4 linked regions of the Saccharomyces cerevisiae S288C genome follow. Each later gene encodes a partner of the first gene's protein in a complex. Each region holds a gene or a part of one and is shown in the gene's direction. Other genes may lie near its edges. The genes, in order: RPN3, SEM1, RPN12 and RPN8.

Evidence for each region.
Region 2: the proteins of RPN3 (region 1) and SEM1 are in contact, whole or in part, in a cryo-EM structure (PDB 6FVW), measured with the Saccharomyces cerevisiae proteins. Residues at the interface, in NP_010938.1 of Saccharomyces cerevisiae: Arg51 (codon at 2,385), Tyr52 (codon at 2,388), Arg55 (codon at 2,397), Ser56 (codon at 2,400), Lys58 (codon at 2,406), Asp59 (codon at 2,409), Lys182 (codon at 2,778), Phe185 (codon at 2,787), Tyr186 (codon at 2,790), Leu189 (codon at 2,799), Glu192 (codon at 2,808), Thr193 (codon at 2,811), Arg196 (codon at 2,820), Asn235 (codon at 2,937), Leu236 (codon at 2,940), Arg239 (codon at 2,949), Asn243 (codon at 2,961), Ser265 (codon at 3,027), Ser266 (codon at 3,030), Ser267 (codon at 3,033), Ala270 (codon at 3,042), Arg271 (codon at 3,045), Phe274 (codon at 3,054), Tyr275 (codon at 3,057), Ile297 (codon at 3,123), Arg298 (codon at 3,126), Lys299 (codon at 3,129), Ala300 (codon at 3,132), Pro301 (codon at 3,135), His302 (codon at 3,138); in NP_010651.3 of Saccharomyces cerevisiae: Met1 (codon at 2,329), Ser2 (codon at 2,332), Thr3 (codon at 2,335), Asp4 (codon at 2,338), Val5 (codon at 2,341), Ala6 (codon at 2,344), Gln9 (codon at 2,353), Ala10 (codon at 2,356), Lys13 (codon at 2,365), Asp15 (codon at 2,371), Thr17 (codon at 2,377), Lys18 (codon at 2,380), Lys19 (codon at 2,383), Lys20 (codon at 2,386), Asn21 (codon at 2,389), Glu22 (codon at 2,392), Glu23 (codon at 2,395), Ile24 (codon at 2,398), Asn25 (codon at 2,401), Lys26 (codon at 2,404), Lys27 (codon at 2,407), Ser28 (codon at 2,410), Leu29 (codon at 2,413), Glu30 (codon at 2,416), Glu31 (codon at 2,419), Asp32 (codon at 2,422), Asp33 (codon at 2,425), Glu34 (codon at 2,428), Phe35 (codon at 2,431), Asp37 (codon at 2,437).
Region 3: the proteins of RPN3 (region 1) and RPN12 are in contact, whole or in part, in a cryo-EM structure (PDB 3JCP), measured with the Saccharomyces cerevisiae proteins. Residues at the interface, in NP_010938.1 of Saccharomyces cerevisiae: Ser198 (codon at 2,826), Glu199 (codon at 2,829), Glu200 (codon at 2,832), Ile201 (codon at 2,835), Asn202 (codon at 2,838), Ser203 (codon at 2,841), Asp204 (codon at 2,844), Asn205 (codon at 2,847), Ile208 (codon at 2,856), Asn244 (codon at 2,964), Gly245 (codon at 2,967), Glu246 (codon at 2,970), Asp248 (codon at 2,976), Ile282 (codon at 3,078), Gln283 (codon at 3,081), Leu284 (codon at 3,084), Lys368 (codon at 3,336), Asp375 (codon at 3,357), Tyr377 (codon at 3,363), Val381 (codon at 3,375), Arg382 (codon at 3,378), Ser385 (codon at 3,387), Asn386 (codon at 3,390), Lys389 (codon at 3,399), Thr418 (codon at 3,486), Glu420 (codon at 3,492), Tyr421 (codon at 3,495), Met422 (codon at 3,498), Val423 (codon at 3,501), Ser424 (codon at 3,504); in NP_116710.1 of Saccharomyces cerevisiae: Asp43 (codon at 2,739), Leu44 (codon at 2,742), Ser45 (codon at 2,745), Ile46 (codon at 2,748), Ser91 (codon at 2,883), Asn92 (codon at 2,886), Asn93 (codon at 2,889), Leu96 (codon at 2,898), Thr119 (codon at 2,967), Thr120 (codon at 2,970), Lys121 (codon at 2,973), His123 (codon at 2,979), Ser124 (codon at 2,982), Glu125 (codon at 2,985), Gln127 (codon at 2,991), Tyr128 (codon at 2,994), Leu129 (codon at 2,997), Asp130 (codon at 3,000), His132 (codon at 3,006), Ile133 (codon at 3,009), Glu137 (codon at 3,021), Arg150 (codon at 3,060), Leu152 (codon at 3,066), Met153 (codon at 3,069), Glu154 (codon at 3,072), Gly155 (codon at 3,075), Ser156 (codon at 3,078), Tyr157 (codon at 3,081), Gln158 (codon at 3,084), Glu188 (codon at 3,174).
Region 4: the proteins of RPN3 (region 1) and RPN8 are in contact, whole or in part, in a cryo-EM structure (PDB 5MPE), measured with the Saccharomyces cerevisiae proteins. Residues at the interface, in NP_010938.1 of Saccharomyces cerevisiae: Tyr452 (codon at 3,588), Asp453 (codon at 3,591), Ser454 (codon at 3,594), Glu455 (codon at 3,597), Gln458 (codon at 3,606), Phe461 (codon at 3,615), Arg464 (codon at 3,624), Ile465 (codon at 3,627), Ala468 (codon at 3,636), Asn469 (codon at 3,639), His472 (codon at 3,648), Tyr475 (codon at 3,657), Ser478 (codon at 3,666), Met479 (codon at 3,669), Arg480 (codon at 3,672), Pro482 (codon at 3,678), Glu483 (codon at 3,681), Lys486 (codon at 3,690), Thr487 (codon at 3,693), Asn490 (codon at 3,702), Glu491 (codon at 3,705), Lys492 (codon at 3,708); in NP_014904.3 of Saccharomyces cerevisiae: Val249 (codon at 3,428), Asn251 (codon at 3,434), His252 (codon at 3,437), Asp253 (codon at 3,440), Ile255 (codon at 3,446), Asn256 (codon at 3,449), Asn259 (codon at 3,458), Gln262 (codon at 3,467), Lys263 (codon at 3,470), Leu265 (codon at 3,476), Thr266 (codon at 3,479), Thr269 (codon at 3,488), Asn270 (codon at 3,491), Glu272 (codon at 3,497), Leu273 (codon at 3,500), Ile276 (codon at 3,509), Tyr277 (codon at 3,512), Asn280 (codon at 3,521), Arg283 (codon at 3,530), Ser284 (codon at 3,533), Ile286 (codon at 3,539), Ala287 (codon at 3,542), Asp289 (codon at 3,548), Asp290 (codon at 3,551), Glu293 (codon at 3,560).

What each region holds. Positions count from the first base shown.
Region 1 is NC_001137.3:194,714-199,019, forward strand, and holds RPN3 (proteasome regulatory particle lid subunit RPN3), read left to right. Parts: upstream 1-2,234; coding exon 2,235-3,806; downstream 3,807-4,306. Other genes in the region: GPA2 (guanine nucleotide-binding protein subunit alpha), read left to right, coding at 455-1,804; SRB4 (Srb4p), read left to right, coding at 4,099-4,306. UniProt on the Saccharomyces cerevisiae protein: Acts as a regulatory subunit of the 26S proteasome which is involved in the ATP-dependent degradation of ubiquitinated proteins.
Region 2 is NC_001136.10:1,199,800-1,203,697, forward strand, and holds SEM1 (proteasome regulatory particle lid subunit SEM1), read left to right. Parts: upstream 1-2,328; coding exon 2,329-2,598; downstream 2,599-3,898. Other genes in the region: ESC2 (Esc2p), read left to right, coding at 1-754; CDC40 (Cdc40p), read right to left, coding at 3,044-3,898. UniProt on the Saccharomyces cerevisiae protein: Versatile protein that might stabilize multiple protein complexes involved in diverse pathways. Subunit of the 26S proteasome which plays a role in ubiquitin-dependent proteolysis.
Region 3 is NC_001138.5:249,893-254,552, forward strand, and holds RPN12 (proteasome regulatory particle lid subunit RPN12), read left to right. Parts: upstream 1-2,612; coding exon 2,613-3,437; downstream 3,438-4,660. Other genes in the region: RET2 (coatomer subunit delta), read right to left, coding at 271-1,911; HXK1 (hexokinase 1), read right to left, coding at 3,700-4,660. UniProt on the Saccharomyces cerevisiae protein: Acts as a regulatory subunit of the 26S proteasome which is involved in the ATP-dependent degradation of ubiquitinated proteins. Necessary for activation of the CDC28 kinase.
Region 4 is NC_001147.6:814,632-819,614, reverse strand, and holds RPN8 (proteasome regulatory particle lid subunit RPN8), read left to right. Parts: upstream 1-2,683; coding exon 2,684-3,700; downstream 3,701-4,983. Other genes in the region: DSE3 (Dse3p), read right to left, coding at 1-749; GTPase GPN2, read right to left, coding at 1,280-2,323; GCD1 (translation initiation factor eIF2B subunit gamma), read right to left, coding at 3,895-4,983. UniProt on the Saccharomyces cerevisiae protein: Acts as a regulatory subunit of the 26S proteasome which is involved in the ATP-dependent degradation of ubiquitinated proteins.

The sequences.
Region 1 (4,306 bases):
CAAAAGGCTAAGGAAACGGGTAACCCGTGGTACCCGGGGCAGAATCAAACTTATAATTACTAAAGATATACCATATATTACGATCCCTGCGCCCGGCGTGCTCCACATTAAGTAAATGTCTGGAGTAAAATGAAGTCCGCCAATTCAGTCACAAAACATGACTACTGCCTCGTTCGCGATTTCTTCTTCCCTTACTTCATCATGTTCAAGCCCCCTCAGCTGCGCCCAAATGATTCTTCTTATCCTCTTGCATACTGCACCGAAAAAAAAAGTTAATAAGCAGCAGGATTTATAGGCGCGTGCGTGCAGCCTTAGACTGAAGGGGTGGAAAAACTTTAGGTAGGTTTGGTTCTCACTACCCAAAGAGCAATCGATAGGTATAAAAGTGAGCAATTGCTATCACAGCGAGCCTTATTGTTACAGCACAAATCACGCGTATTTTCAAGCAAATATCATGGGTCTCTGCGCATCTTCAGAAAAGAACGGCAGCACTCCTGACACGCAGACCGCCAGCGCTGGTAGTGACAACGTTGGCAAAGCGAAGGTACCACCAAAGCAGGAGCCACAGAAGACTGTGAGAACAGTCAACACAGCAAATCAACAAGAAAAGCAACAACAGAGGCAGCAGCAGCCGTCTCCGCATAATGTTAAGGACCGCAAGGAGCAAAACGGGAGCATTAATAACGCGATATCTCCCACGGCTACGGCAAATACAAGCGGATCGCAACAGATCAATATCGACTCTGCCCTGAGAGACAGGTCGAGTAACGTTGCAGCACAACCATCATTGTCGGACGCTTCAAGTGGCAGCAACGACAAAGAACTGAAAGTGCTACTGCTGGGTGCCGGTGAAAGTGGTAAGTCCACGGTATTGCAGCAGTTGAAGATTTTACACCAGAACGGGTTTAGCGAGCAGGAAATTAAAGAGTACATCCCCTTGATCTATCAGAATCTATTGGAAATTGGCAGGAACCTCATCCAGGCGAGAACAAGGTTTAACGTCAACTTGGAACCGGAGTGTGAACTGACGCAACAAGACCTGTCGAGAACCATGTCCTATGAAATGCCCAATAACTACACGGGCCAATTCCCGGAAGATATCGCGGGCGTAATATCTACGTTGTGGGCCTTGCCCTCAACACAAGATTTAGTCAATGGGCCTAACGCATCGAAGTTCTATCTAATGGACTCGACTCCTTACTTCATGGAAAATTTCACCAGGATCACTTCGCCCAATTACAGACCCACCCAGCAGGACATATTAAGATCGAGACAGATGACGTCAGGGATTTTTGACACCGTCATTGATATGGGGTCGGATATCAAGATGCATATTTACGACGTGGGTGGACAGCGTTCCGAAAGAAAAAAATGGATACACTGCTTCGACAATGTCACTCTGGTCATATTTTGCGTTTCTCTATCGGAGTACGACCAGACGCTGATGGAGGACAAGAACCAGAACAGGTTTCAGGAATCGCTGGTGCTTTTCGATAATATTGTCAACAGTAGATGGTTCGCGCGCACGTCTGTCGTACTCTTTCTGAATAAAATCGACCTTTTTGCTGAAAAACTAAGCAAAGTGCCTATGGAAAATTACTTCCCAGACTACACCGGCGGGTCAGACATCAACAAGGCTGCTAAGTACATACTCTGGAGGTTTGTTCAGTTAAACAGGGCGAATCTAAGCATATATCCTCACGTGACACAGGCCACAGACACGTCGAATATAAGATTAGTATTTGCCGCCATCAAAGAAACAATTTTGGAAAATACATTGAAAGACTCTGGAGTGTTACAATGAATGCACAGCTAAAACAGAGACAAAACTGCATGCCTCTTCTCCCCTTTATTATCACCTTTAAAAAAGATAAAAAAAGAAACTGGAAAAAAGGTAAAAAAAAAAAAAAAATTAAATAAATACGAATACGTTTTCTCATGACCATTGTACTAGTAATCACAACCATGATACTTGAATAACTTTTCTGTTTTGTGCTGTATTAAGCACAACCGTTATTTTTTAATTTATAGCGTTATACCACTATATTATTGTAGTCATTATAGTTATTATCCCGGGTAACAAAAATTTCATTCCAACGAGGTAATAGTTCCACTTTTCAGGCAGGAGGACGAAAAACATTTGCCACCCAAGAAAGAGACAAAGCAGTAGGTAAGGCATTCATCACACAATTTGAAAGGGGGTATAGTAAAAAAAATTCAATTGAGCAAATAGAATGGCTAGCACTGCAGTAATGATGGACGTGGATTCTTCCGGGGTCAATGACTTGCACCATTCTGAGAAGAAATATGCGGAAGAAGATCAGGTTCAGGAACTATTGAAAGTTTTGAATGAGATCTCCAAGACCACTTTAACGCTGGACCCAAGATATATATGGAGGAGTTTAAAGGACTTGAGCTCTTTAAGGAACCAGGAGCTTTTGAATGCGGAAACTTTATGTTTCACAGTGAATGTGCTGTACCCTGATTCTTCTTCATTCAAGAAGAATCTGCTGAAGTTCATTACTTCTAACCATAAATCGTCCGTACCGGGGTCAGCTGAGCTTAGAAACTCATATCCAGCCTCTTTTTATTCCGTAAACACTGAGAAAAAGACCATTGAAGTGACAGCTGAAATTAATTGCTTCATGCATCTACTAGTCCAGTTGTTTTTATGGGACAGTAAAGAATTAGAACAATTGGTAGAGTTTAATAGGAAGGTTGTTATCCCAAATTTATTGTGTTATTACAATTTGCGTTCCTTGAATTTAATCAACGCTAAGTTATGGTTCTACATCTACTTGAGTCATGAAACGTTAGCGCGCAGCTCCGAGGAGATTAACAGCGACAACCAAAATATAATCTTAAGGTCCACGATGATGAAGTTTTTGAAAATCGCTTCCCTGAAGCACGACAACGAAACCAAAGCCATGCTGATTAACTTGATCTTGAGAGATTTTTTGAATAATGGCGAGGTTGATAGCGCGTCTGATTTCATTTCTAAACTAGAATATCCTCACACAGACGTTTCCAGTTCATTGGAGGCAAGATATTTCTTCTATTTATCGAAAATTAACGCCATTCAACTGGATTATTCCACTGCGAACGAGTACATTATTGCAGCCATAAGAAAAGCCCCACATAATTCCAAGAGTTTAGGGTTCTTACAGCAATCAAACAAACTGCATTGTTGTATTCAATTACTCATGGGTGATATTCCAGAATTATCATTTTTCCATCAATCAAATATGCAGAAATCTCTCCTTCCTTATTACCATTTGACCAAAGCCGTTAAATTAGGTGACTTGAAAAAATTCACATCTACAATCACAAAGTATAAGCAGTTGCTATTGAAGGATGACACCTATCAACTCTGTGTTAGATTAAGATCTAATGTTATCAAGACAGGTATCAGGATCATCTCCTTAACGTATAAAAAAATTTCATTAAGAGATATTTGTTTGAAACTGAATTTGGATTCGGAGCAAACTGTAGAATACATGGTTTCAAGGGCTATTAGAGATGGTGTTATTGAAGCCAAGATTAATCACGAGGATGGCTTTATCGAAACCACAGAATTACTAAACATTTATGATAGTGAAGATCCTCAGCAAGTATTTGATGAAAGAATCAAATTTGCCAACCAATTACATGATGAATACCTTGTTTCAATGAGGTACCCTGAGGATAAAAAGACTCAACAAAATGAGAAAAGTGAAAATGGTGAAAATGATGATGATACGCTAGATGGTGATTTGATGGATGACATGTCTGATATCTCGGATCTCGACGATTTGGGATTCTTATAAGGGCGCATAAAAAATAAATAACTACCATTCATAACAGAAATTCATTCGTATATACATAAAGTTCTCATAAACGTATATATATATATATATATATACTTATTGATATCAAAGTGTGTTACTTTCTACATTCATAGACGGGGAAGAAAAGTGAGGAAAAGTTGTTTTCTCTTGTGCACTGCAGCCCTTTGAAAAAGTAGAACTGCAGAAAAAATAACTGAACGTAAAGCATTATTTACTTTTCAAAGGCAAAAGAGATAGAGCCAAAAAAATTGTAAGCAGCTTAAAAGCCATAATGACAACGGAAGATCCAGATTCAAATCACTTAAGTTCCGAAACTGGCATTAAATTGGCATTGGACCCGAACTTAATTACATTGGCACTAAGTTCTAATCCAAACTCTAGCCTTCATTCACCAACGTCTGATGAACCCGTACCTGAATCTGCAGGAAAAGCAGATACTAGTATTCGACTAGAAGGTGATGAGTTAGAGAATAAAACTA
Region 2 (3,898 bases), on another chromosome or scaffold:
TAAGCTAGAAGGAACTATAAATAAAGCGGTCCAAGTGAAGGTCCTCGGAAAATACGAATTTTCAAAAATACTTCCTGCTGCTTTGGACGGATTGATGAAGTCCTATAAAATTCCGAAGGTAATGAAAGATATATACAAGGTAGAGAATGTTACTCTTTATTGGAACAATGCAAAATTACTCACTTTTATGACTTGTAATTCGCTACATATCCCACAGGATTTTGAAAATGAAGTCTCTGATATCGATGTTACTATCGTATCCAAAGAATACGAAAAGAACTTTGAAGCGACACTGGAATCAAAGTTAAAGGAAGAAGAAGCTGCTTTACTCATAAAAGAACGTCAGGAGATGGAAAGGAAGTTAGAGAAAAAGAGAAATGAACAAGAAGAGTCCGAATATCGCGAGTTTGAATCCGAATTAAAAAACGTAGAAGAAACACAAGAAATAAAAGAAAATGATACAGTTATGAATACAAAACTTCTGCAAGAGGGTGGCTCTTTGTCAGGAAATAGTAGTAGCATGGAAGAAGTTATGAGAATCGCTCTCATGGGTCAAGATAACAAAAAAATCTATGTCCATGTTAGGCGTTCAACACCATTTTCTAAAATTGCCGAATATTACAGAATCCAGAAACAGTTACCACAAAAGACGAGGGTTAAATTACTTTTTGATCATGATGAATTGGACATGAATGAGTGTATAGCCGATCAGGATATGGAAGATGAAGACATGGTTGATGTCATTATTGATTGAGCGCAATTTGCTAAAAAAGGCCGAACTCCGGCTCTTTACGTGCCACAATTATTATTTACTATGGGCGGCGGGTGTGTTGGTGGTGCTTGCGGTACTTGTAAAATATTTTCTGAATATAATTGAATAAGACCTTTTGTGTTTAAATCATACTCGGGTAATTCTCTGTTCAAAAAGTAGGTGCTGACCCTCTTCTACCTTCCGTGAAATATTATAAAGGAATTTTTCCATCTCTAACTCAACATGTTAACGCTTTTCTATAAAAATTTGATCGCCTAATGAATACAAAAATCTCTTCAGCTTTTTCGTGCTAGGTTTGAATAGTACATCTAACGTAGAACAACTATCAAAACAATTTGATATTTCCTCGGCTATAGTTTTCTTGGAACAAGAGGTAAACTACTTCTCTATTGTTGCTACAGCAGTCAATTAAAATAATTCGTTTCATCATAATATTATGATATCAACGCTAAAAGGTTGTATAAATTACGAGATCAGCAGAAAATAAAATTCAAGCCATCATCCTTTAAGGTGATTTGAAGGGCAAGAATTGGTAGTGTAACTGCATCAATGAGTGATTAGGTGAAAACGAAGAAAAATAATAAATATGGTACTGTGCAGAATTGTTGATTTTCTTTTTTGAACTCTAAACCATCAAGAATGGCTTTCACCCACTATTGTTACACATAGTACTATTACTTACACCAAGATGGGATCCGACAAATATCTCAACACTATATTGGTCTACATGCTTTATCGATTGCTCCTTATTTACGTATTTCTATAAATAGGGCGTACTTTACCAACAGTGATCATGGATGCAAAAAATGTGAATACATTTATATGGAAAAAAGGTTTATATCAATATATTTTAAAGTGATTGAAAATTACTGATGTGTTTGATATTGTTGGAATAAGAATCAACCATCATATACCCGACTAACGTTCATATTATTAGTAAACTATCATATACAACCTAAGAAGTTGACATAAAGATTGACAAGCAGTTACCATTTTTAGTAGAAGTTGAAAAGCAAGAATTGATAACCAAATATTGTTTTCCAACAATGCAATCCCAACCCTATCTCAATATTCATAGAATTCACTTATTTCTCAGTTTAATACATGATGATGCATCTTGATATTGAGAAATTATATGTATTATCCCTTTTTAACCTTTAAAAGGTCACAAATAAATAGCCTTGTTGGCGCAATCGGTAGCGCGTATGACTCTTAATCATAAGGTTAGGGGTTCGAGCCCCCTACAGGGCTAATAACACATTCAAAATGTTATAAATTTTTTTTCGGGTTTGTGTTTAAAACTAACCTTCTAAAGAAAACAATAAAAATTATATCAACATTTCCTCATGTCTTTGTAACCTACTAGTAGGGATTTTGAAGGGCTGAAAGCTTCTTAGTTCTGTCGGATCCATTATATTATCATTATTTACGAAACTAGTGCTATGGGTGGCGAACGTGGTGGGCGTTACCTTTTAAAGTCCTAATGGAAACCTACCTATGCATAAAGTGAATAGAGTGGCAATAAAAGTCGAATAATAGTACAAATACGCAAAAATATGAGTACGGACGTTGCTGCTGCACAAGCCCAAAGTAAAATAGATTTAACAAAAAAAAAAAATGAGGAAATAAATAAGAAGTCTCTAGAGGAAGACGATGAATTTGAAGATTTCCCCATTGACACATGGGCCAATGGTGAAACAATAAAAAGCAATGCTGTAACGCAAACAAACATATGGGAAGAAAACTGGGATGATGTTGAAGTTGACGACGATTTCACCAATGAATTGAAGGCCGAATTGGATAGATACAAACGGGAAAATCAGTGAGGGGCTACATAACATTATTTCTAAATAACGCAAAAGGAAATTATACGTCTAATGTTACTTTAGTACATTGTTGTCATACTAGTATATTTTGCTTAGATGATAAAATAAATAATAAAAAGAGATACGAAAGGCTATGCGGTAGTCGATTATATGGCCTTGTAGTATAATAATGATGCACGCAAAGTATTAAATAACTCAGCTGAGATTTCTCATTTCTTTAAATGCAGTCTCAGTTTAAAAAATTAACTATATTAAGATCCGCTCTTTCTACCATATGATGCAAATGTGTCCTCGAACTAGTACTTGCAATTTCAGGTAACCCCAATCGTTTCTTTATTATTGTCATTTTTACTATCATAATAATATCATCCGTAATAACAATTAAGTAACAAATCACATCCATGTAACCATTTAATTTGTTTCAAGTAACATTCCGAGTGAATAGCTAGTCACATACATATATCTTACCTGCCGCTCCGCTGCAAATGACTTTACTTGTTTCTTGAGGATGCCAGTCCACTTGAGTTATAGGCTTGTTGCCTGGAATCTTGATGTTATTTAATAAGCGCGACGTATTCCAATCCCAAGTAAATAGTCTGCTTTTTGAATCGCCTGAACATATGTAACGACCATCACCAGAAAAAGCCAAGCTTATCCCATAACCAGCAGATGAATGCCCTTTAAATATCTTTTTTGGATGCCTCTTATATTTGGGTTTCAAACTGAAAGAATATATTCTATTATCCATGCTTTGTGCACAGAAATAGTTCTGAGACGGATGTACATTTAAAAATGGCATAGAATGTTGAGCCGTGTCACTTATTTGTTTTATTGGTACATTGATCTGATTTTCCCAAATTCTTACCGTCTTATCCTCTGAAGAAGAAATAAACTTCGAACCATCGGGAAAATACTTGAGAGCCAGAATGCTACTTAGGTGATGATCATATGTCTGCACAAGACCTTGATTTTCTGAAACACGATCATCATAATGTAATATTTTCGAATTCGATAAACCTACAATGAACTCATGTGGGTTAGTGGGCCGAGATTCAACATCTGCAGGCGTTGAATTAAGGTGCAACCTGGTTTTCACTTTACCAGTTTCAGTATCCCAAATTTTAACGCTTCTATCAAAGGAAGAGCTCAAAAAAGATTGACAGTCTTCGGTGAATCGTAATGCTTTAATAGGCTTGTTATGACCTTGAAAATCTCGTAGGCATTCATAGTCATGGTAGAAATCCCAAATTTTTATAGTATGATCATTACCACCAGAGAGAATTAAGTGTCCAGTTTTAGG
Region 3 (4,660 bases), on another chromosome or scaffold:
GCGGAAGATGAAGGATTCCTGCTGCTTATCCCCTTTCTTAACTTAGCTGTACTTTACTATGTGGGTACGTATTTAAGGTGGCAAATTCTAAACCAAGAAGCTGGAACATCTTTAATAAAAAGGATTGACGGGTAACCCTAAAAGGAAAAATAATAAAGAATAAGAGTAAGTTAAACTATATATATAGAAGGACGAAAGAAAAGATACCTCGATTTTTATTTATTTAGTTTGTGTATATAACTTAAGTATTTTATATGTGAATGTAACGTACTATTGGACAAGATATTCATCTGATTTCAAAGAGGTGATGACGTCGTAAGGGAGCTCTTGATCGTGGTCATTGGCCATGACAACAGATTGTATGGCCATACCGGTGAAACTCTTAGCTAATTTATCCCTCGTGGACTCTTGGAAGGAAACGGTCATTGGGTACAATGCATCTTCATATGGAGCTTCGATAGTGAATGCTAGCGCACCTGCATCGTTGGCAGCAATTTTGCTAATCTTAATGGAGGTTCCCATTTCTTGGTCCATGTTGACAACTTCAGCGTCAGAGCATGTAGAAGACTCTGTATTTATGTCTACTGGCTCCTGAGGGAAAACTGGAATGGTGAAGATCACATCAGCGAGTTCTGTTTCCAGGACGCTCTCATACTCAATAATGACATCAAAGCCCTGTTGTGATTCGGAGGGGGAAACCCATGTAGTTAGAGTTAATGGAATTAATGAGTCATCTTCTGCGGGAGCGACTTTACGCCATCTTAGAACACCCAGGCTTTGGTCGTTGGCTGGGAAAGCCTTAGATTTATCACGCAGGGAGATAAGTTTAGTGGATAGGAACGATTGTTTATCTATGTTTGGATGGGTCTTAAACTGGAAGGATTTATCGCGAACGTCAATAGAATCAGCTAGTTTTAGGTTCGAGTGAGATAAGTCATGGTCATTAATTCTTAGTTCTAAAACACCTTTCAATTCAGAAGAGTGAATGGTACCATCTCTGGAGAATTCTGCATTGATTACCTCCTTGATAGAGATCAAAATACCATTGTTCTCTGGGACATCCTCCTCCGGAGGAGGTGGAGTGCCAGAAGAGGCTGAAGAAATTGCACTTGGCCGTGGTGCGGCACCCGCTCTTCTTCCGGCACCACCACCCAATTTCATACCGCCAGTAGCAGAATGTCCCGCACGCTGAGACGTAGCCATTGGGGAGGCCACTGGGGCCACCTCAGCAGCAGCGGCATGGGAACTTTGTAGATAAGACTGTTGTGCTGCAGGAGAAGCATGGGAGTAGTAACTGTTGATGGCGTTTGTAACGTTAGGATCTTTACTTCCCATGAACCTATTGGCGCCGTCGTAATCGCCATTTGAAGACATAAACCCGTGTTTCCTTTCATGTTCTTTTCTAGCAATTTCCTTAGCACGGCGCTTCCTCTCCTCAGTAGCTTCGATCTCTTTATTACGCTCAATAATTTCCTGGATTCTTTCTTCGTGCGACTCCATAGACAAGTATGTTTGCACTTGAGTAAAGGACAAGTTCTCTTTGTACCCGCCCATTGACACGATTTCGTCGAACGAGGACAAGATCTCAAAGGCATTGTGAAAAATCTCTTGGTCTTGGAAACTAGACAAGTAGGAGTTGATCGTCTGTGAAAACAGATTTAATGTGGCCAAATCCTTGATAATATTGGACTGGCGGTTTGTGATAAGAATAATGTAGTAGTTATCAAAGGGCCTATACACGTAGCGGACGTGCTTGTCCTCGACAAATGTGTGGTCTGACGAGATCTCGGAGACTAGGTTCTGGAAATTGGACAGCAACTCTAGGACTCGATCCTTGGACAGATCTTTGAATTGCCTGGACAAGAGAGGTTTCCCCTGACGCGTAGTGATAGAAGCAGCCAAAACCACCATTGTGTATTTCTTTTGATGGAGCTATAGGTATTCTAATATGATCTATATTCGACGCTGAGGCTAATTGCCCTTGTTCTTGAGGTGTCAACAACCAGATTTTCTAATTTTTCGCTGGCTGTTGCTGGAAAAATGTAAACGCGCAGGGCGGGTAATAATAAAAGTTGAACTATGAAGAACAATAGAAACGCCAAGGTTTACTGACAGAGACATGTTTTAATTCAAGTGATGAGGCGGAAACGTGCAAGATCCTAAATGAAGGATAAAAAGAGTTCTTAAAAAGGGAAGTAAGGAATAACAGAGTAGAAAAACCGAAAAGACAACTTAACAAATCGGCAACACTTTTATGGGGCCCCGCTCGCCTGTGTGCAAGTAGTATTCGACCTGGAACACGCATTTACCACGAGAAGACAGCAATAGTCCGTACAACATTAATTAGTTTCGACAATTGCTCGCCTTTATAAGCCATGCTAGTGCCCAATCAAACACTTTACTTGCCCTGAAGTTCCTTTTTTCGCTAGCCTGTAACTTAAATAAGCCATCTAACCTTTTTTTTCTAAAAATTTTCTTTATTACCCTGTCGGCTTATTTTCTATTCTACACATTATTTGCCACCCATTGAAATTGTAGCTTGTATTAATAGGGAAAAGCCGGAAGTATAACCGGTGGAAAGTACTATTGAAGTGAGATAAGAAGCCATCGTAATGCCCTCGTTAGCCGAATTGACCAAGTCGTTAAGCATAGCCTTTGAAAACGGCGATTATGCCGCGTGTGAGAAGCTCTTGCCCCCTATCAAGATCGAACTTATCAAGAATAACCTTTTAATACCTGACTTATCCATTCAAAATGACATCTATTTGAATGATTTGATGATTACTAAAAGGATCCTGGAAGTAGGTGCCCTTGCTAGCATCCAAACTTTCAATTTTGACAGCTTCGAGAATTACTTCAACCAATTGAAGCCTTACTACTTTAGCAACAATCATAAATTATCTGAATCTGACAAGAAATCGAAGCTGATAAGTCTGTATTTGTTGAACTTATTGTCTCAGAATAACACAACCAAGTTTCACTCGGAATTGCAGTATCTAGATAAACATATCAAGAACTTGGAAGACGATTCACTTTTGTCTTACCCTATCAAACTAGACAGATGGCTCATGGAAGGGTCGTACCAGAAAGCATGGGATCTTCTGCAATCTGGGTCGCAGAATATATCAGAATTCGACTCTTTTACCGATATCCTAAAATCAGCTATAAGAGACGAAATTGCTAAAAATACCGAGCTATCCTACGACTTTCTCCCTCTCTCCAACATAAAGGCTTTGCTCTTTTTCAACAACGAAAAAGAAACTGAAAAATTTGCACTAGAGAGAAACTGGCCTATTGTCAACTCGAAAGTTTACTTCAATAACCAATCAAAGGAGAAAGCTGATTACGAAGATGAAATGATGCATGAAGAAGACCAAAAGACAAACATTATCGAAAAAGCAATGGATTATGCCATAAGTATTGAAAATATTGTGTAATATTTGTATATATAATATGTGCACAAAATTACTACAAAATAAACAACTTTTTCTCTCCCGGAGAACAAAGTAAGTGGAAAAAATTATACTAATAACAATCTAAAAATGTTTATTAGCTAGGATTATACACATAAATATATATATATGTGTGTGTCTATATTTACATATACTAGACCGCAAAAAAAACATAAGGGCATCACTCATAAGAATAATAATATTAAGGGAGGGAAAAACACATTTATATTTCATTACATTTTTTTCATTAAGCGCCAATGATACCAAGAGACTTACCTTCGGCAATTCTTTTTTCGGACAATGCAGCAATAACAGCAGCACCTGCACCTGAACCATCCTCAGCTGGAACAATCGTAATTGGATCTTTGCTTGCGTCACCAGTCCATCCATAGATATCTCTCAAACCCTTAGCGGCGGCTTCCTTGAAACCTGGGTATTTGTTATAGACAGAACCGTCAGCGGCAATGTGACCAGTCTTGTAACCTCTCTTTTGGCAAATAGCGGCAATACCACAAACAGCTAATCTAGCAGCTCTGGTACCGATCAATTCACAAAGTCTTCTAATCAACTTACGTTCTGGCAGAGTGGTCTTGACACCAAAGTCCTTTTGGAAGATGTCATCAGTATCTTCCAAGTTTTCAAATGGATCATCCTCGATTCTTGCTGGGTAGGAGGTATCCATGATGTATGGTTGTTTCAACTTGCTTAGATCTTGATCCTTCAACATCAAGCCCTTCTCGTTTAATTCAAGTAACACTAGACGCAACAATTCACCCAAGTAGTAACCGGAGGTCATCTTTTCAAAAGCTTGTTGACCAGGTCTTGGAGATTGTTCGTCGACAGCAACATCGTACTTGGTTCTTGGCAAGACCAAATGTTCATTATCGAAGGAACCATATTCACAATTGATAGCCATTGGAGAGTTACTTGGAATATCGTCTGCTAATTTGCCCTCCAACTTTTCGATATCGGAAACAACATCATAGAAAGCACCGTTGACACCAGTACCGAAAATCACACCCATCTTAGTCTCTGGGTCAGTGTAGTATGAGGCAATTAAAGTACCAACAGTATCATTAATCAATGCTACAATTTCAATAGGCAACTCTCTCTTGGAAATTTCGTTTTGTAGCAATGGGACGACATCGTGGCCTTCGACATTTGGAATATCGAAACCCTTGGTCCATCTTTGCAAAATACCTTCGTTA
Region 4 (4,983 bases), on another chromosome or scaffold:
TATGGTACCTGAAATGCCTCATTTTTTTTAGCTATTTGTTTTGAAGCGCATATATCGATAATTCTGTCAATTTCTGAATTTAGGGCAGTAGAATCGCTTGTAGAAACGTTTTCATAGGCTGATAGAATTTCGTCAAACAATATTTCACTACCGCTTTTGCCATACTTATTTTTTCTACAGCAATCTTGTGTCTGTGTTTGCATTAGGGAGACCGGATTAATAGGAGTAAGGGCTTTTACAGGCATTACAATTGGGGCCGGGCGAGAGACAAACACTTTATCAATAATATGATCCGAATGTGTCTTATGCCCTAAAGATTGTACTACTGCAGGCTTTGACAGCGTCGGCCTACGTAAACTTTTTCTTTGAATTGGTAGTGATTTTACCTTCTTTCTTTCTCGTAATGGTAGAATCGTGCTTTGAGGACAAACTGGTCCCTTGGGAACTTGCATGTCAGTAAATTTTTTCTCTCTAATCACCTCAAGTTGGGAGCGTGGCCTCTTCTTGAAATCATGTAAGAACAATTCTGGAACAGACTCTAACCGTTTCTTCAGTTTCAGTGTACCCCCAAATCTTTTAGACAACCTGTTACCACCGTTGCTGGTACGTAAAACCTTATCATCTTCATCTTCAAAATCTTGTGGTATCGGTGGAATATACTTCAAGTCATCAGCTGTTAATGTTAGCGAAGATGGTCTGACTGCATCAACATTCTTTTCAATTTTATTGCCCAAAAACTTTCTTGGCATTACTAAGTTATTCTGTAGGATTTTTTTGCTATCCTGCCCTCACAATTATAAATGGTTCATTCATTTAATAAATCCTTTTGAATATGAAAACTTCATCAATATAGAGTAGCAAACCATTTTTACAACATTTTATATCACGATCTGCGCAAAAACCTTAGAATCCCCGCACAGCTGCCCAATGACAGATATAGGCAACGTTGTTGGTGCTAATCATTTTTAACTTGTTCTTTTTCCTCCTAGAAACCCATTGACAGTTTGCTGGTTATTTTTTTCTTCTTCCGCTTTTGCTGTCGCCGCGAATGAGTGAAGGCTGGTCAACCTGGTTAATTAGTAGCGCTGGCTTTCAGGGTACGAAAGCAATCATGTTCAGACATAGGGTTCTGTCCTTTGCAGCTGATTTGCAACTCGGCCAGCAATTCAAGAACATTTCGTAGTAAGCTGCTTTCAATTATATGCATATATACTCTGTATACAATTTTCAATTTTGAATTAAGTTCCACGGCTGAACGAGAAAAAGATACCTGAACACGCTACCTAACAAAATCCATTCCTTGTTTCTCTTCCCACTCCTTCAGCGCATTTTCCCACTCATCTTCTTCATTCACATCAACAGCTTTATTTTGCAATTCTTGTTCTTTTAACAACGCCGTACGTTTTTCTTCTTCTTCTTTATCATACTTCTCTTTATTGTCTATCCACCTGTCTTGAATGTCGTAATTCGCTATTAATGCACCTTCTCGCGAAGCCTCAGCCCACACGGTATCACCACCAACTTCGGATGCGCCGAATATGTAGCCATTTGCTTTATCTATAACACCTTGAAGATTTATCATACTTTCTTTGTCATCCACGGACAAAACCTCAAATGATACTAAGTTGAAATCTGAGACTAGCTCTTTGATTGTTTCAGTTAACTTGCTATATTTCTTTCCCAGTACACTAGAGCCTTCCTTTTCAATATATGGCTCCAAATAATCCAGATCCTGGACCTCTGTATAATAGTCTAATCTAAAGGGTAATTCTCCGTATGATTTCAGCATATCTATTTTAGAAAAAACGTTGATGTGAGGGAGATCCATCATTAACATAGACCTCAATGCAAGTAACAAAATCGAGATATATTGTGAAGGGGATGTCATGTAAAAACAGTCAATCAAATTTACAACACAAAACCTAATGTCCAATTCCTTTTCCATTTTTTTAAAGATGTTGAACAAAGATGAGTGATGAGTAAATAGCTCCACTTGGCCCGGACAGTCGAATACAAGATATGCTTTTTCTTCTTCTACAAGTGACTTGATCTGTAAAATGAACAAATCAATAGAATTATCCAATGATTCAACAGCATACATCAAACCTCCATTAGGGCCTAACTGTTGCTCTTGCATGATCTCCTCTAATGTTATAAAATCACGAATATCCACAGCGCATGGGTAAGGTAAGGCATCATTAGCAGGATCCATATTCACTACCTGGGAATGTCTTCCGATGGCATTGAAGAACTGTGAGCAGCCGTTGCAATAGGTTGACTTCCCTGAACCTGGTGGACCAATAACAATCTGAGCGAAGGGCATTATTGTACTCTCTAGTAGAAAATCAAAACTATTGACACAACAACAATCAAATGAAAACAAACCATTCTATTACGGTAAGTAGTGAAGACTCACAATGCAATCTTTCAATGAGCATCACTTACTTTAAGTAGCAATATTCCTAATCACTTATTACGAAATTTGATTTTACTAAAGTTCGGGGATACCTCAGTGGCAAATCGTTACTCAAGTTGCACGTAACGTAGAATCTACAATGAAATAATTGTGAAGCCAACAGCTAAGCAATCTATAGTGTAACGTTGGCTTTCTGTACAACTGCTACTGATTGAGGGCATTTTTCGAATTTAAAAAAAGAAAGAAAGAAAGGAAAATCAAATTACAATGTCTCTACAACACGAGAAAGTTACCATTGCACCACTAGTTTTGCTATCTGCTTTGGATCATTATGAGCGTACGCAGACAAAAGAAAACAAAAGATGCGTTGGTGTCATCTTAGGTGATGCTAACAGTTCCACTATCAGAGTCACTAATTCCTTTGCCTTACCGTTTGAAGAAGATGAGAAAAACTCTGACGTGTGGTTTTTAGACCATAATTATATTGAAAACATGAATGAAATGTGTAAAAAGATTAATGCCAAGGAAAAACTCATTGGATGGTATCATAGTGGTCCTAAATTAAGGGCTTCTGACCTCAAGATTAATGAGCTGTTTAAAAAATATACTCAGAATAATCCGCTATTATTAATTGTTGATGTCAAACAACAAGGTGTTGGTTTACCAACAGATGCATATGTCGCGATTGAGCAAGTTAAGGATGATGGTACGTCTACAGAAAAGACGTTTCTTCATTTGCCTTGTACTATTGAGGCCGAAGAAGCTGAAGAAATTGGTGTAGAACACTTATTGAGAGACGTACGTGATCAAGCAGCAGGTGGCTTATCTATCCGGTTGACCAACCAATTAAAATCTTTGAAAGGATTACAAAGCAAACTAAAAGACGTTGTCGAGTACTTAGACAAAGTCATTAATAAGGAATTACCGATAAACCACACTATATTGGGCAAGCTACAAGATGTTTTCAACCTTTTACCAAATCTGGGAACACCTGATGATGACGAAATAGATGTGGAGAATCATGACAGAATTAATATTTCAAATAACTTACAAAAGGCTTTAACTGTGAAAACTAATGATGAATTAATGGTTATATATATAAGCAATTTGGTTAGGTCAATTATCGCGTTTGATGATTTGATTGAAAACAAAATTCAAAATAAAAAAATTCAAGAACAAAGAGTAAAGGACAAACAATCAAAAGTCTCTGATGACAGTGAGAGTGAGAGTGGTGACAAAGAAGCAACTGCGCCATTGATCCAACGAAAGAACAAGAAAAATTAATTCAAAAATTAACATAACATAATATATGAAATAGATGTGTAAAACGCTATGTATTAATACAACATGTTAATTTGCTTAAGCATAATTATGTTCTGTTGAATTTCAAATATAAATGCATAATATCGCCTCTATTCTCGTCCACTTACTTACTTGGTCTCTATTAAAGAGACTGAAGGAATATACATAAGTTTATATTAACGCTCAAATAATCCGTCATCTTCGTACTCGTACTCGTCGGTATATTCACTATCATCAGAATCTTCATCGCTTCTATCATCACTGTCAGTTTCTTCGGCGATTTCACTTTCTCCAGCAATAACACTATCATCATATATTAACTCGTCCTCCTCATCTTCATCCAAATAAACGTTGGCCAGTGTTTCACCTTTAAAGTTATTTTTAGGCTCCACAACATAATGGCCTTCGATATAACAATTGCTGAGTTTACACTTTGAACCGATTTTTGCCATAGGTCCAATAATACAATTTTCCAGGATTACTTCGTCACCAAGATGGACTCCAGGAAATAAGAGAGACCCTGCAACACGACATCTGGAACCAATATTGGCCTGAGTACCGAGAACAGACATCTTGACATTACTATGAGCAGAGATTTGGCATTTGGGATCTACTATGGCATCAGCACCGATAGCGGCAGATTGAATCTGTATATTTTTCGTGAACATCGTTTGTGATTTTATCTTTAGTACAAATCTATTAGCGTCCATGTAAGCATTCAAGTTATTGGCTCTGATGAACAAGGTTTCGTTTGGTAAAATAAAAATACCTATTGGTTCCCTCGGTTTCGAATGTTGCCACGAACGACGAGATAAATCTCTAAAAACCTTACTCAATGATTTATTACAGTTTATTGGGTCCAAGATGAGATCATTCTTTTTTTTGAAGTAGGTAGGCTGGATAGATGTAGCCGAAGGTTTGTAATCATCGTCATCATCATGATTGCGATCTTCATCATCATCAGTAGTAGGAGGGTTTTGCTGTTGTTGGTTTCCAGTAAATGGATCTTTGAATGAAGCTTGTCTTGACATTGATTGAGGTCCTAATTTTAACAACTGGCAAAGTTCAAAGGAACAAAAGTAGATGAATGAGTTCAGTAACTTAGTGGATACTGTTAAATTTGGATAGTTCCATAATAAATGAGATCTGATCTGTAGATATTTTGTCTTTGTGACGTCCCTTTGAGAATAAACGTCCAAAAGTATTGGCTGCCTCTCTGAGTCTTCGTTTTCTGAATAAACAGTGAAAAATTGCTGTTGTTTTTG